3 linked regions of the Coturnix japonica genome follow. The protein of the gene in region 1 interacts with the protein of each later gene in a pairwise test. Links are inferred from orthologs where the notes say so. Each region holds a gene or a part of one and is shown in the gene's direction. Other genes may lie near its edges.

What was found.
Region 2: the proteins of SPRY1 (region 1) and GEMIN4 interact in binary tests that used the Homo sapiens proteins (3 or more experiments, as listed by UniProt). The link is inferred for Coturnix japonica from reciprocal best matches to the Homo sapiens genes SPRY1 and GEMIN4.
Region 3: the proteins of SPRY1 (region 1) and MEOX2 interact in binary tests that used the Homo sapiens proteins (3 or more experiments, as listed by UniProt). The two-hybrid records come from large-scale screens. The link is inferred for Coturnix japonica from reciprocal best matches to the Homo sapiens genes SPRY1 and MEOX2.

The regions. Positions count from the first base shown.
Region 1 is NC_029519.1:47,745,982-47,750,243, reverse strand, and holds the start of SPRY1 (protein sprouty homolog 1), read left to right. Parts: upstream 1-1,436; 5' UTR 1,437-1,553; intron 1,554-4,262. UniProt on the Homo sapiens protein: Inhibits fibroblast growth factor (FGF)-induced retinal lens fiber differentiation, probably by inhibiting FGF-mediated phosphorylation of ERK1/2. Inhibits TGFB-induced epithelial-to-mesenchymal transition in lens epithelial cells.
Region 2 is NC_029534.1:5,681,735-5,686,092, forward strand, and holds the start of GEMIN4 (gem-associated protein 4), read left to right. Parts: upstream 1-1,443; 5' UTR 1,444-1,456; coding exon 1,457-4,358. Other genes in the region: GLOD4 (glyoxalase domain-containing protein 4), read left to right, coding at 1-16, 256-369, 450-536, 799-864. UniProt on the Homo sapiens protein: The SMN complex catalyzes the assembly of small nuclear ribonucleoproteins (snRNPs), the building blocks of the spliceosome, and thereby plays an important role in the splicing of cellular pre-mRNAs.
Region 3 is NC_029517.1:25,705,437-25,708,105, reverse strand, and holds the end of MEOX2 (homeobox protein MOX-2), read left to right. Parts: intron 1-866; coding exon 867-1,091; 3' UTR 1,092-2,152; downstream 2,153-2,669. UniProt on the Homo sapiens protein: Mesodermal transcription factor that plays a key role in somitogenesis and somitogenesis and limb muscle differentiation. Required during limb development for normal appendicular muscle formation and for the normal regulation of myogenic genes.

The DNA.
Region 1 (4,262 bases):
CAAAAATGCATAACTGGTGGTGATGACTATGTTGAAAAAGGGTGGCTGAGAATTTGCTCTATCAAATAGTGTTGTTATGTTCTTTGTAGCTGTTGTTGTTTCTGTGCAAATATGTGGCATTACTTTCAGAGAGACATGCCTCCATCCTGTGTGCATGAATAGGCCAGGACATGCTGCCATTCTCAGTACCTGTGCCTGTGTGGCATGGCTGTGTGGTCTCAGCCACAACCCCTTGATGGCTTCGTCTCTTTCACTAACACAGAGAAGTTCTCACATCCCTGTCTGGGGAAGCAAACGCCTCCATGGAGAGTGGCAAACTCTTTGATAACCTTCAAGGTGAAATACTCATTGTCTCTCGCTTTATCCAGGAATGGATTATCTGGGTTGTGGAACAATGAGGTCATGTCTTTTCTCTACACTGCTGGAGAGTGCTTCAGGTTTCACACAGGGTAGCTGCTCCCGTCCAGCCTTCTCTGCTTAATGCCATGGAAAGCAGCTTCTCTGTCAGTGAGCTTTCCCAAAGCTGAGGATGTGAATTGTGTCTATTTGGCCTCACGTTGTTATGCATGAGGCATCTCCGTGGCGTTTGGATTGCTGTGTTAGCTGGGAGCTGGATGTGTTGGGTGCAGTAAGGTGAGGCGACCAAAGTCATTGGGCTCCTTTCAGGTGAATGTCCCCCTGGCTGCACTGCCACAGCCCAAACCTGGGCACCGCAGCTTTAATGGAGAGCTGTTGCCTTGAGAGTGAGGGATCCCTAAACAGGGCTGCAGGTGTGAAGGCCAAGGGGTGCTTAAGTAGATTAGAACACAAATACAACCTTGAATGTGCTGGCATGCTTCCTCACCACCAAATCAGCAAGCTCTACCCTTCTACCCTACAGATTCTATCTTTCAGATGGTTATGCTCTTTAATAAGCAGGACCCCTAGAAAAGAAAAAGTAAAAATAGAAAATCATATTAAAAAATTCTGTGTTGATTTCAAGCAAAGCACAAAAATACCAGAGATCCCATGAATACTGAGATTACGGTGGTGTGCACAGGATGCTGCCACACAAAAAATCTCTGTGACAGAAAATCCTTGAAATTTGGTTTACAGAACTCACTGCTGTTTTTTGTACAAACATGTAACATAACTCATCCACCTCTTTCTTCTTAGTGTCGTGGAAATCTTGGTTAAGCTGTCTGAAACATGTAGAAACAACTGGTTCCCTTGGTCTGAGCCCACATCCAGGCTTTCATCATCCGTAATTTTGGTAAAAAGCTGCTTTTGTTAATGTAACGCATCATAGTAACCGGTTACACTTTCACTACAAAAGGGTGTTTTATTTTCCCGAGGGATGAATAGCAATCGAGGGTCAGCTGGTAGTGCCAAGTGCCTTGATAACACAATTGGCTGCATAGAGCTTTGTTAGGCCCCTCCGTGCTTGCTGGGGAGACTTAAAAGAAGATGGTGGGAGAGCTGCTCCCTGCATACTTGACTGCTGAGGGTCTGAGTTTTTCGCCGAATCACAGAATTGAAGGGATTGGACTTTGGTTTGCCTGCTGGATAAGAAGGTAAGTGCCTGAAGCAGAGCCCAAGGAGCCCTCACTGCCTAACAGTGGGGGCTGGGGAGGAGAGGAGACGGACACAATGTTTGAAGATGACTGTATGAATTTCTGCCCTGAAATCAAACACTCACTGATTTTAGTTTGGAAAGATAGGGGCTGAGAGAGTCGGTGGGAGGCAGAAAGTGGGAGTAGCGAGTGTAATCAGAGCAAGGGCTGATCTGTGTCATCTTGATGCTGATTTCGGTGTGTTTGTGACACACAGCTGTAGTCACCCTGACCCATGTTAGGAAGCATCTCTGTTAAACACTCAGTGGGGTCTGGCTTTGATCTCATTAACCTTATCAGCGCTGGATTAGCAAATGTGCTTCTGGAGCCTGACTCTCAAATACTTAAGTTGAGATTATGATTCATTTTTTCTTTCTTTCAAAGTAAAATCAAATCCAAGATTAAGTTGGACATGAGCCAGCAGTGTGAGCTTGCAGCCTGGAAATCCAGCTACATCCTGGGCTGCATTAAAAAAGGGGTGGCCAGCAGGGAGAGGGAAGTGATTGTCCCCCTCTACCCAGCTCTACCACAACTGTGTCCAGACCTGGGGCCCCCAGTACAGGAAGGATGTGGAGCTCTTAGAGTGGGTCCAGAGGAGAGCTGCTAAAATGATCAGAGGGCTGGAGCAGCTCTCCTGTGAGGAAAGGTTGAGGGAACTGGGCTTGTTTAGCTTGGAGAAAAGAAGGCTCTGAGGAGACCTCATTGCAGCCTCCCAGTACTTGAAGGGAGTGTTTAAACAGGAGGGGGAACAGCTGTTTATGAGGATGGACAGTGATAGGACAAGGGGGAATGGTTTTAAACTGAGACAGGGGAGGTTTAGGTTAGAGATTAGGAGGAAGTTTTTCACGCAGAGGGTGGTGATGCCCTGGAACATGTTGCCCAAGGAGGTTGTGGATGCCCCATCCCTGGAGGCATTCAAGGCCAGGCTGGATGTGGCTCTGGGCAGCCTGGTCTGGTGGTTGGCTGCCATGCATATATAGCAGGGGGTTGAAACTCGGTGATGATTGTGGTCCTTTTCAACCCAGGCCATTCCATGATTAAGCTGTCCTAGGCCAAACCCACTGGCTTCTGCATTGGTCTCACAGTCTCTGGGTAGTGCAGAGAGGTGGCCTTCATGGAATTCTATCCCTGAGGTGAGAGCCAGTCCCCAGATGTCATCTTCCAGTGTCATCTTTTCATTGGAGTAAATAAAGAATAGAATAAAACCCCTTCTCAGCCAACCTGTACAGCACTATGGGTTACTTCCTTGCATTGCTTGTACCTGTTGTGGCTATAATGGAATGAAATCATGGTATTTTTACAGATTTTTTTCCTCTTGGAAATATTTCATTATAATTATTAAATAATTATTTGGCAGCAGTCAGCACTGCTGCAAAAACCTTTTTCTTTCTTTTTTTTTTTTAATGTTAAAATGAAATGTCTTCTGGATCTTCCAGAAATTTAGTAGCAACTAGTGGGGAAAGGAGGGAAATTCTGCCTGTTTTCCTCAATGAGAACAGAAGGAAAACGTTGGTGAGTAAAACTATGAGAAAATCTGTGGAGGAAATAAAATTAATAGAAAGCATGTGTGGAAAACTTCCTCCTTCTAAGTGTGCTCATTGTTTATTTCTAAACTCTACATGAAAAAACAATGAGATGGAGAAGAAAAGCCCACAGTACATCATTAAGCTCAAAGAAGTTTTATTTTCCTACGAGTATTTGTAGCCATCAAAAGGATCCAGTACCTCCAGCGGGCCGTTTTGTACCTCCCTGCTGTTTTTCATGGAAGTTTACGTGGTTGTCCCCTGAGATCATGTGATAGGAGATGGTTGCTTTGTGGAAAATAACATGCTAAGCAGATGTGAGGTTAGAACCTTGGGCCCTGTGAAACAAGGGAATGCAGCTGACTTTCAACTGTGAGACAGTAGGAGTAAGGTCCCAGAACAGCACTGATAGGGGCTGAAGCAGAGCTAATGGCTTCAGGAGAAACTGAGGCAATGCCCTGGGCCGTTCCTGTGGCCATTCCTGCTGGCAAGCTCTGCCACACTGACCAAACAAGTTGTAGGCAGTTTGTACTTAAGCATCCACCCTGGCATATCCATAGTGACTATCTTAAGTTAACACGAGATGATGTATTCTGAATTCTGGAAGATGCTGGCACGGTGTGATGACAAAATCAACCTTGTAAGTGAGCATCAGCTGGAGAAGAGGGGTGTTTGTAAATCTTAGGCTTTTTTTTTCCCCCATCCTTAGAGCTGACATGTTTTACCCTAGTCCTAAAAAAAAGAAAAGCCCCAGTGCTGTAAGAAAAAACCTCCATAGATTAATTTCAAAAAGAAAGTTCCGTGTTACTGCATGCTGTCTGAAAGTGTGTGACTCTCAAGAACATCCAAGAAAAGCAACCGGGTTTTTCCTGGGGATTCCTTCAGAACGAAGTGAGGCCTACTTTGCTCTGTGTATGCTTTCGGAACTGTTTATTTGATTGGTGTCTTGGAGATGGCTTTGCACAAAGATGCGCTCTACACCTTGAAATGGTTTCTGTCAGGATTGGACTCTTTAGCTTGACGTTTTGGGAATAGCCAGTACCTTCTACTGTTACTAGTGCGCTGTAATTTTAAGCTGAATTTATCCTATGACGTTATCTTGGGGACCACGGGAGACACAACAGCTGAGATGAAGCAGAAGTTTTGA
Region 2 (4,358 bases), on another chromosome or scaffold:
CTGTGCCAAAGAAGAGGTAATAATCCTGCTTTCCTTATCCCTCTCATCATCCTGCTGAGTACTAGGAGATACCTGTCTGCTATCAGCCAAATCTCTCAGAGATGATCAAAGTAACGCTGATCAGATCCTTAGTTTACATTTCTCACAGTGGGAATGCAATGAAGTTGCAGATAGCAGGAAACTATAAATGAGAACAGCCTGAATATGCCCTGGCTTCACCTGACTGAGGCTGATGTTATTTGTTTTCTCTTTAAGTTGCCAAACATTGAAGCACTGATGAAAAAGGAGAACCAGAAGATTTTAACGCCTCTGGTTAGCTTGGACACACCTGGCAAAGCTACAGTGCAAGTGGTCATTTTGGCTGATCCTGTGAGTAGCATCAGAAACAGTAATAAAATCAATGTCTCTTTCCTGTTTATCTGCCTGACCTGCTGTTGAATTGGGTTTAGGATGGCCATGAAATCTGTTTTGTGGGAGATGAAGCATTTCGAGATCTGTCCAAGGTGGATCCCAATGGTGGCAAACTGTTGGATGATGTAAGTAATGATCTGTCTTTTGTTTTCATCCTGATCACAGCCGCCCATGGAATCAAATATTCTTTGCAGCAGAGCAGCTTTCAGTGCCTGTTTTCATTACTAATATACAAGAAACAGTTTCTTCATCAGGCTGGCTTTCCCCCTGGATTATAGAGCCTGATAATCAGCCTGTTGTTGTGGGGCAGGGTGGTGAAAGTGGGCAGCTCAGTGTTTGGAATGGCAGCTGAGTCAGCCAAACATGCTCCTATTTTCCTTTGTTCAGGCCATGGCAGCTGACAAGAGCGACACGTGGTTTGCTGCCCGGAATATGAAGAAGGTGTCTGCATAGCTGGAGGAGGAGCTGGGCTGGCAGGTCATCATGCCTTGGTTTTCATCTGAGCTGTGCTGTCCATCCCATGGGAGGGCTCAGTCACGTCCCATGCTGTTCTGTTGGTTCCTTTTCAGCTTGTATCTCTTTCATTTCAAGCTCCTCTTTATTTTCAATCAAATATCAGGTGCAACTTCAGACGTGAGTGTAAAGCAGGGAGGATGTTGGGCACGTGGCTTCCAACGCTGGAGCTGCAGGTGAATGCCTCCTAGTGCGGTTGCACTTGAAGGAGAAGTTGCCAGGTTGATTAAAGTATCCAGATCTGTCATGAATGAGCTGTAGCCGTCCTGACTGCAGCGCAGGGCTGAGATTGGTGTGGTAGCAGCAGCTGCAGTGCCCGGTGCTGTCGGTCAGGCTGCTCGTTATTGATCTCTTGATGAAAAGCAGCAGCATTAGCAATGCCTGCAATGAATAGTCTAAATGGGAACAGTTCTCGACGTGCCGGTGTTGCTTTGGCGTTGATGCAGTCAATGAGTCGGGGTCGGATCAGTGCTGACGGTGATGCCGTTGTTGGAAATGAGCCTTGATGTGAATAAATTTTTATGTGAATTTTATGCAATTTTATGTGAATTTTATGCAATTTTATGTGAATAGAAGCACCGCGCGGCTGTGTGCGCAGCGTCCTTCCAGCCGGGGGCAGACACCTCCGCTCCGCCAGGGGGCGCTGTGGGATCGCGGCGGCCGCCTGCTCTGCCGGAGCGGAGCGCGGGCTGCGTTGTCTGCTCCGTTGGCCGCCATGGAGCCGGGCAGCGGGGAGCGGGTCGGGCCGTGGGGCGTGTGCGAGGAGACCGCCATCCTGCACGGCGGCTTCCTGCTGGCCTCCAGGCTCCTGCAGCCGCGGCCGTTGAGGGAGCTGCTCAAAGCCGAATGGCCGCTCGTCGGGCCGCCCATCACCGACGCGCTGAGGGAGATCGGGGCCCGCTGCCCTTCACCGCGGCAGCACGGGCTGTGGAAGAAGGAGGCCGTGGCCATCGTGTGGGCCAAGGTGCTTCTGCCCGCCCCGCCCGCCGCCTCCCTGGACCAGGAGTGGAAGGAAGACGCCTTTTTCTCCGTGGGAGCGATGATCCCCGACGTGAACCGCACCGTTCTCTTCGAGCTGGTGAAGGCCCTGGGCGCTCCCCGGCTCTTCGTGCAGTTACTGCTGGCGCTGCCCCCCGACGTGAGCCGGGCTGAGCTGCGGCACCTGGTGCAATATGTCAGCCACGAGACGGCCCCGTCGGATGTCACATTGCTCATGGATGTGTGGTGGGAGGCGCTGAGACAACAGCCGGATCCGGAGGACAGCACGGTGGCTGCATTCGGCTCCCTGGTGCGTGAGCACGGCTGTGAGTGCGCTCTGGATGACGGCTTGCAGCCCCCAAAGAGGTTCAAGGGGGACCCCAGCTCTCTGAATGGCCCTCCTGCTGCAGACAGCCTGCTTGGGGTCCTCATAGAGGGGTTAAAGCAAAGCTACGGCAGCATCACCTCACCCCGCATGAAGTGCTACGCCCTGGGCAACCTGGTGGAGCTGCTGTCTGTGTTCACCGAGCTGAAGCCACAGGGCAGCCCCCTCCCTGTTGCAGAGTACCTGGCCAAGGTCAGCTCAGTGGTCGGCCTCTGGAGCAGTGACACTGAAAGCCAGCACCACCACAGCGAGCTGGATGAGAAAGTGAAGGAAGCTGAGAGGACCATGAGCTTCTCATCCATGGCCAAGCTGTCGCATGAAGAACTCATAGCTGGCTTGGACTTTCTTCACAGCTTGTTGTGTGCCTGGGGAGAGGAGCTGCGGGGTGTCCTGAACAGCTCAGAGAATCAATGCTATGAGAGCTACTGGCTCCTTGATACTCTTTCCACCTTCAGGAAGATCCTGGTTCGCTTCTCTGAGACTGGAGACCTGAGTGAGGATGAGATGCGTGTTGCATTACAACTGGCACAGACAGTTGATGGCTTTCTCACAGAGATCAGCACCACCCAGAAGAACAAGGATTTGGACACCAGCCTTGAATCCTCAGTTGCCATGATAATCATTGAGCAAAAGCTGCACCGGCACATGGAAGTGTGCTCCATTTTTGCTTCTGAAAAGACCTGGGCCTTTTCAAAGGGCTGGGTTGACTGCCTTGTGAAAAACAAGGTTCTTTTCCAGAAACCAGAGCTGGTTTGGAAATTGCTGGAGACTCTGGTGAACTTTGCCACATCCTGTGAAGGCCGTGAGGCCCGGGAGATGCAGATGCAAATGATCAAAGCCATTGTGGAGTGTTACAGTGAGCTTCCATTAACAGACAAAAACAAAGTGATCTCGGGTGTCCTGGAGGCTTGGGGTGGGCCAGGGCTCTCCCTGAACTTGCAGGTTGTCATGGATGGGTTCCAGGAGGACCTCAATGTGACTTTCAACCAGATCACTAAAAGCTTATCTGATGAAGGCATTACCAGGGCTGTGGCTGCTGTGGCTAGGCTTGCTCTGCTGCACCCTGAGGCCACTGTGAAGCAGATTTGTAGTCTTGCTGTAGTCAACCTAGGAGCACATCAGTTCCTGGCGCAAATCCTCTGCTCTTTCCCAGCTCTGAGCTTCCTGGAGACTCATGATGGTCCAGGCAGCCTGGTGGTACGGTGCCTGAAGGAGGCAGCATGGGAAAAGCTTTCCTCTGCAAGGGAGGAGGAACAGTTTCTTGAGTTTTTGGCCTTTCTCCTGCAGCCAAGTTCAGCTGCCCCACTCGTATCACCTGCAGAAGTGACCAAAGCTTTTGTCCTTCCCTATTTGAAATCAGACTGTGCTCAAATTGAGCTGAGCCTGCAGATCCTCAGTAAAGTTTTGGGAATACGGTCCTACCCAGAAGAGCACTGGATCAAGTCCTGCCACCCGTTCCCACTTCTCCTCAGCCTCTGCAAGCTTCTAGATGGCTACACAAAGTACTGGCATCAGCCTAAGGACCAGCTCTTCCCATCCCTGGAGATCAAAGACCTGGTGCTGAGTGTCCTCAGCCAGCTCTGTGAGGTCGTGACTCCAGAAACTGCCTCCTCCCCAGAGGTTTGGGTCCAGTCTCTGGCCTGGCTTCACAGGAAGGTGGCATCGCTGGACTGGACCATTGGTCTCCGACTGAAGAAGTTTTATGGAGACCACTTCAAGAATGAGGTCCCAGCGACGCTATTTGAGATCTGCACATTCCCTGAAGATGAATGGACATCCCAGCCTTTGCCAGCCTACGGGCCGGGCAGTGGACTGCTGGCATGGATGGAGTGCTGCTGTGTGTCCACTGAGCTCAGAGAGACGATGCTCTCACTCCTCATGGTCAACGTGGACAACCCCGAGGAAGTGAATCTCTTCAGCAAAGGCTTCCTGGTGGCCCTCATACAGGTCCTCCCTTGGTGCAGCCACGGTGAATGGAAGAGGCTTGTGCATGTGGTCACAAACCTGCTGGAGAGGCAAGTGTTGCACGTGCCGTACACACTGGAGTATGTGCAGTACATGCCCCTGCTGA
Region 3 (2,669 bases), on another chromosome or scaffold:
GGAAATGGGTTTCAGCTGGAGTAAAATCTTGGAGTTTAATGTGACTTCAGATGTACATATATATTTTTAAACTTTCATGCCATTAATTTATTTTCTATTCTTATCTGAAATTATTTGATTGTGTGCTGATTTTGATTCAGATTTATAACTGCTTTGCTGTCTGCCTTTGTGGGTGTTTATTTGTGTGAAAAATGTGAATAAATGGAGTAGAATTAAGGACTTATCAACTAAGTTTATTTAAACATTTTTGTAATATAGGGAAGTCATAAGTTTTACTGTAAGAAATACTCTTTCAGTCACTTTGCTTCAGCAAATTGAAAGGAAAAAACTTTTACAGTGCTCCACTCAAAACCACTAGTTGACAAAAAACACTGAAATTTTTTCAGTGGAAGTTCCTCTCTGAAGTAGTTAGCTTCCTTTAAAATGTAATTAGAAAAGCATTATAAGTAGCACACCACACTGGGCTACCCAGGAGCTGGGTTCTTCTGTTCAGTCCCTTGTGGGTTCAGTTGTGTCTCTGTTTCTTTATATGTGGAATGGCATTAATGCATTTTTCAAGAGCATGTTGAATTTGCAGTTTTTTCTAAAGGGCTCTGAGGTCTTCCCATTGAGGGTATGACAGCAGTGATGCATATTGCAGCTGGGCCTGCAGCCTTCTTGCTGTAACTCTTTTCCATCCCATGCAGTCATTATCCTTACATCCCCAGGGCACTCATTCCATCCCAAATTTGATCTCTTGACAGTCAGGGAGCCCTTGCTGTACTTTTAACAAAAAAGACGGGGCTATAGTACAGCTAGGAAGATGGTTATCAACCTTCAGTGACACCATGTCTATTTTCTTTTTTTTCCTTTCTTCTTTTACAAAGGTAAAAGTTTGGTTCCAGAACAGACGGATGAAGTGGAAGCGGGTAAAAGGAGGCCAGCAAGGGGCAGCAGCCCGGGAAAAGGAACTGGTGAATGTGAAAAAAGGCACGCTACTCCCCTCTGAGCTCTCTGGCATTGGGGCAGCTGGTCTCCAGCACACGGGGGACTCACTAGCGAATGATGACAGCCACGACAGCGATCACAGCTCTGAGCACGCGCACTTATGATACACAGAGATTGTCCCAGATCCGTTCTCAGGAAAGATGCTTTGCTGGCAAGCCTTACACAGGCATCGTTTACGTATGCAAGTGACTCTGGCAGTGATTTTTAAAGTTGTTATGGAAGATTCAGGCTTATTGTGTCTGTTTTTCTCAATTTTTAGATGGTTTACAGTAAGTGCCATGTCTTAAAGGTGCCTCAAGATTGGAGAAGTGGAAGATGAACTTTGAACATTCCAGATTTGTTTGTCATGTTTATGACAGCGGGCAGGTATTTTTGCTTTAGCTTGCACTGAAAATTACATTGCTCTCAACAGACATTATATTCTGAAAACCACAGTGCCACAAAATCACTATCTAGTGGATAAGAAATGTATTTTAACTCTGTATATATTTACCTTACAGCATTTTCCTGTCTTCACTAATTTTAGCAATGCATTCATATTAGCTGATGGCAATAGTCACTCATGACAATAAATGGCTTTTTGTCTCTTTATTTTTGTTTTGTTTCGCCAAAGACATACAATACATGCAGATACTTTTGTTCAAGTAGAGAAAGTATCTGCTAGGACACGTCCTTGTATGACAGACAAAACAAATGTTATGTTGCATTTACTATCAACTGCTGCTAATAGGGTATTATTAAACTTACCTAGCTCCTCAATTCTTCTTATCTTATAACTGCAAAAAAAAAAAAAAAGATTTTTAGGATCATAAGGATAGTCCAGTAACCTGCCAGAAAATGTTCATATTCAGTGGAAACCCCAGAAAGGATTATTCATTTCTACTTTGTCATCACTGAGTACATTGATTAATACTGACTCTGTGGAAATGTTGCTTCATCTTCAGTTTAAAAAGCAGTAAGCTGGAAGTTATTATCAACTGCTTATGTTGGTAGGAATCAAAATATGAAGGTAACTCACTATTGTGTCCCATGTATAAAACCAAGACACATTTTCTGTTACAAGCTTTTGTGTACATACAGGCAAACACCAAAACTCAAAATTTAATGCAAACCATTGATTGTACTTTGTAAAGAAAAATGTTTAATAAATAATCCTTTTTAAATACTTCTGGTCTTTCTACAGTGATTTCATAGGAAACTTAAGAATATTGTTTTGTAAAAGTCCTAAGGAACTCTGACTTTTTTGGGTCTTTTGGAACTTCATCTGTGAACAACACAAAGCTACATTTTCAAATTTAGGCTTTTAATCTTGGATAAACTTTCCACCTTGATCCATTTGGGAAACTCTTTCCTTCAGCAGGAAAAAGGCATCTAGCAGCTAATGATGTCTTCAGCCAAAAACAACAAGAGTCTGTTCAACCATTTTTCCAGATCTAGAGTGATTATAAAGGGTTATTTTGTTGGATCTTGTTGAAATGAATAAAAATGAATAAAAATCAGGAAAGGGACGCATGCTTACATCACAGTGCCTTTATCTGATAGTGTTGTTCAAGAGAAAGATACTAAAATGCCTCCAAAAAACATAAGGGGTGAATTCAACTGGGTTCTGCAATAGAAGATGCAGAGTGAAAGAAAGTGCAAGTGGTAAATGTGCATGTCCTTGAGAGTATTCACTGTAGCTC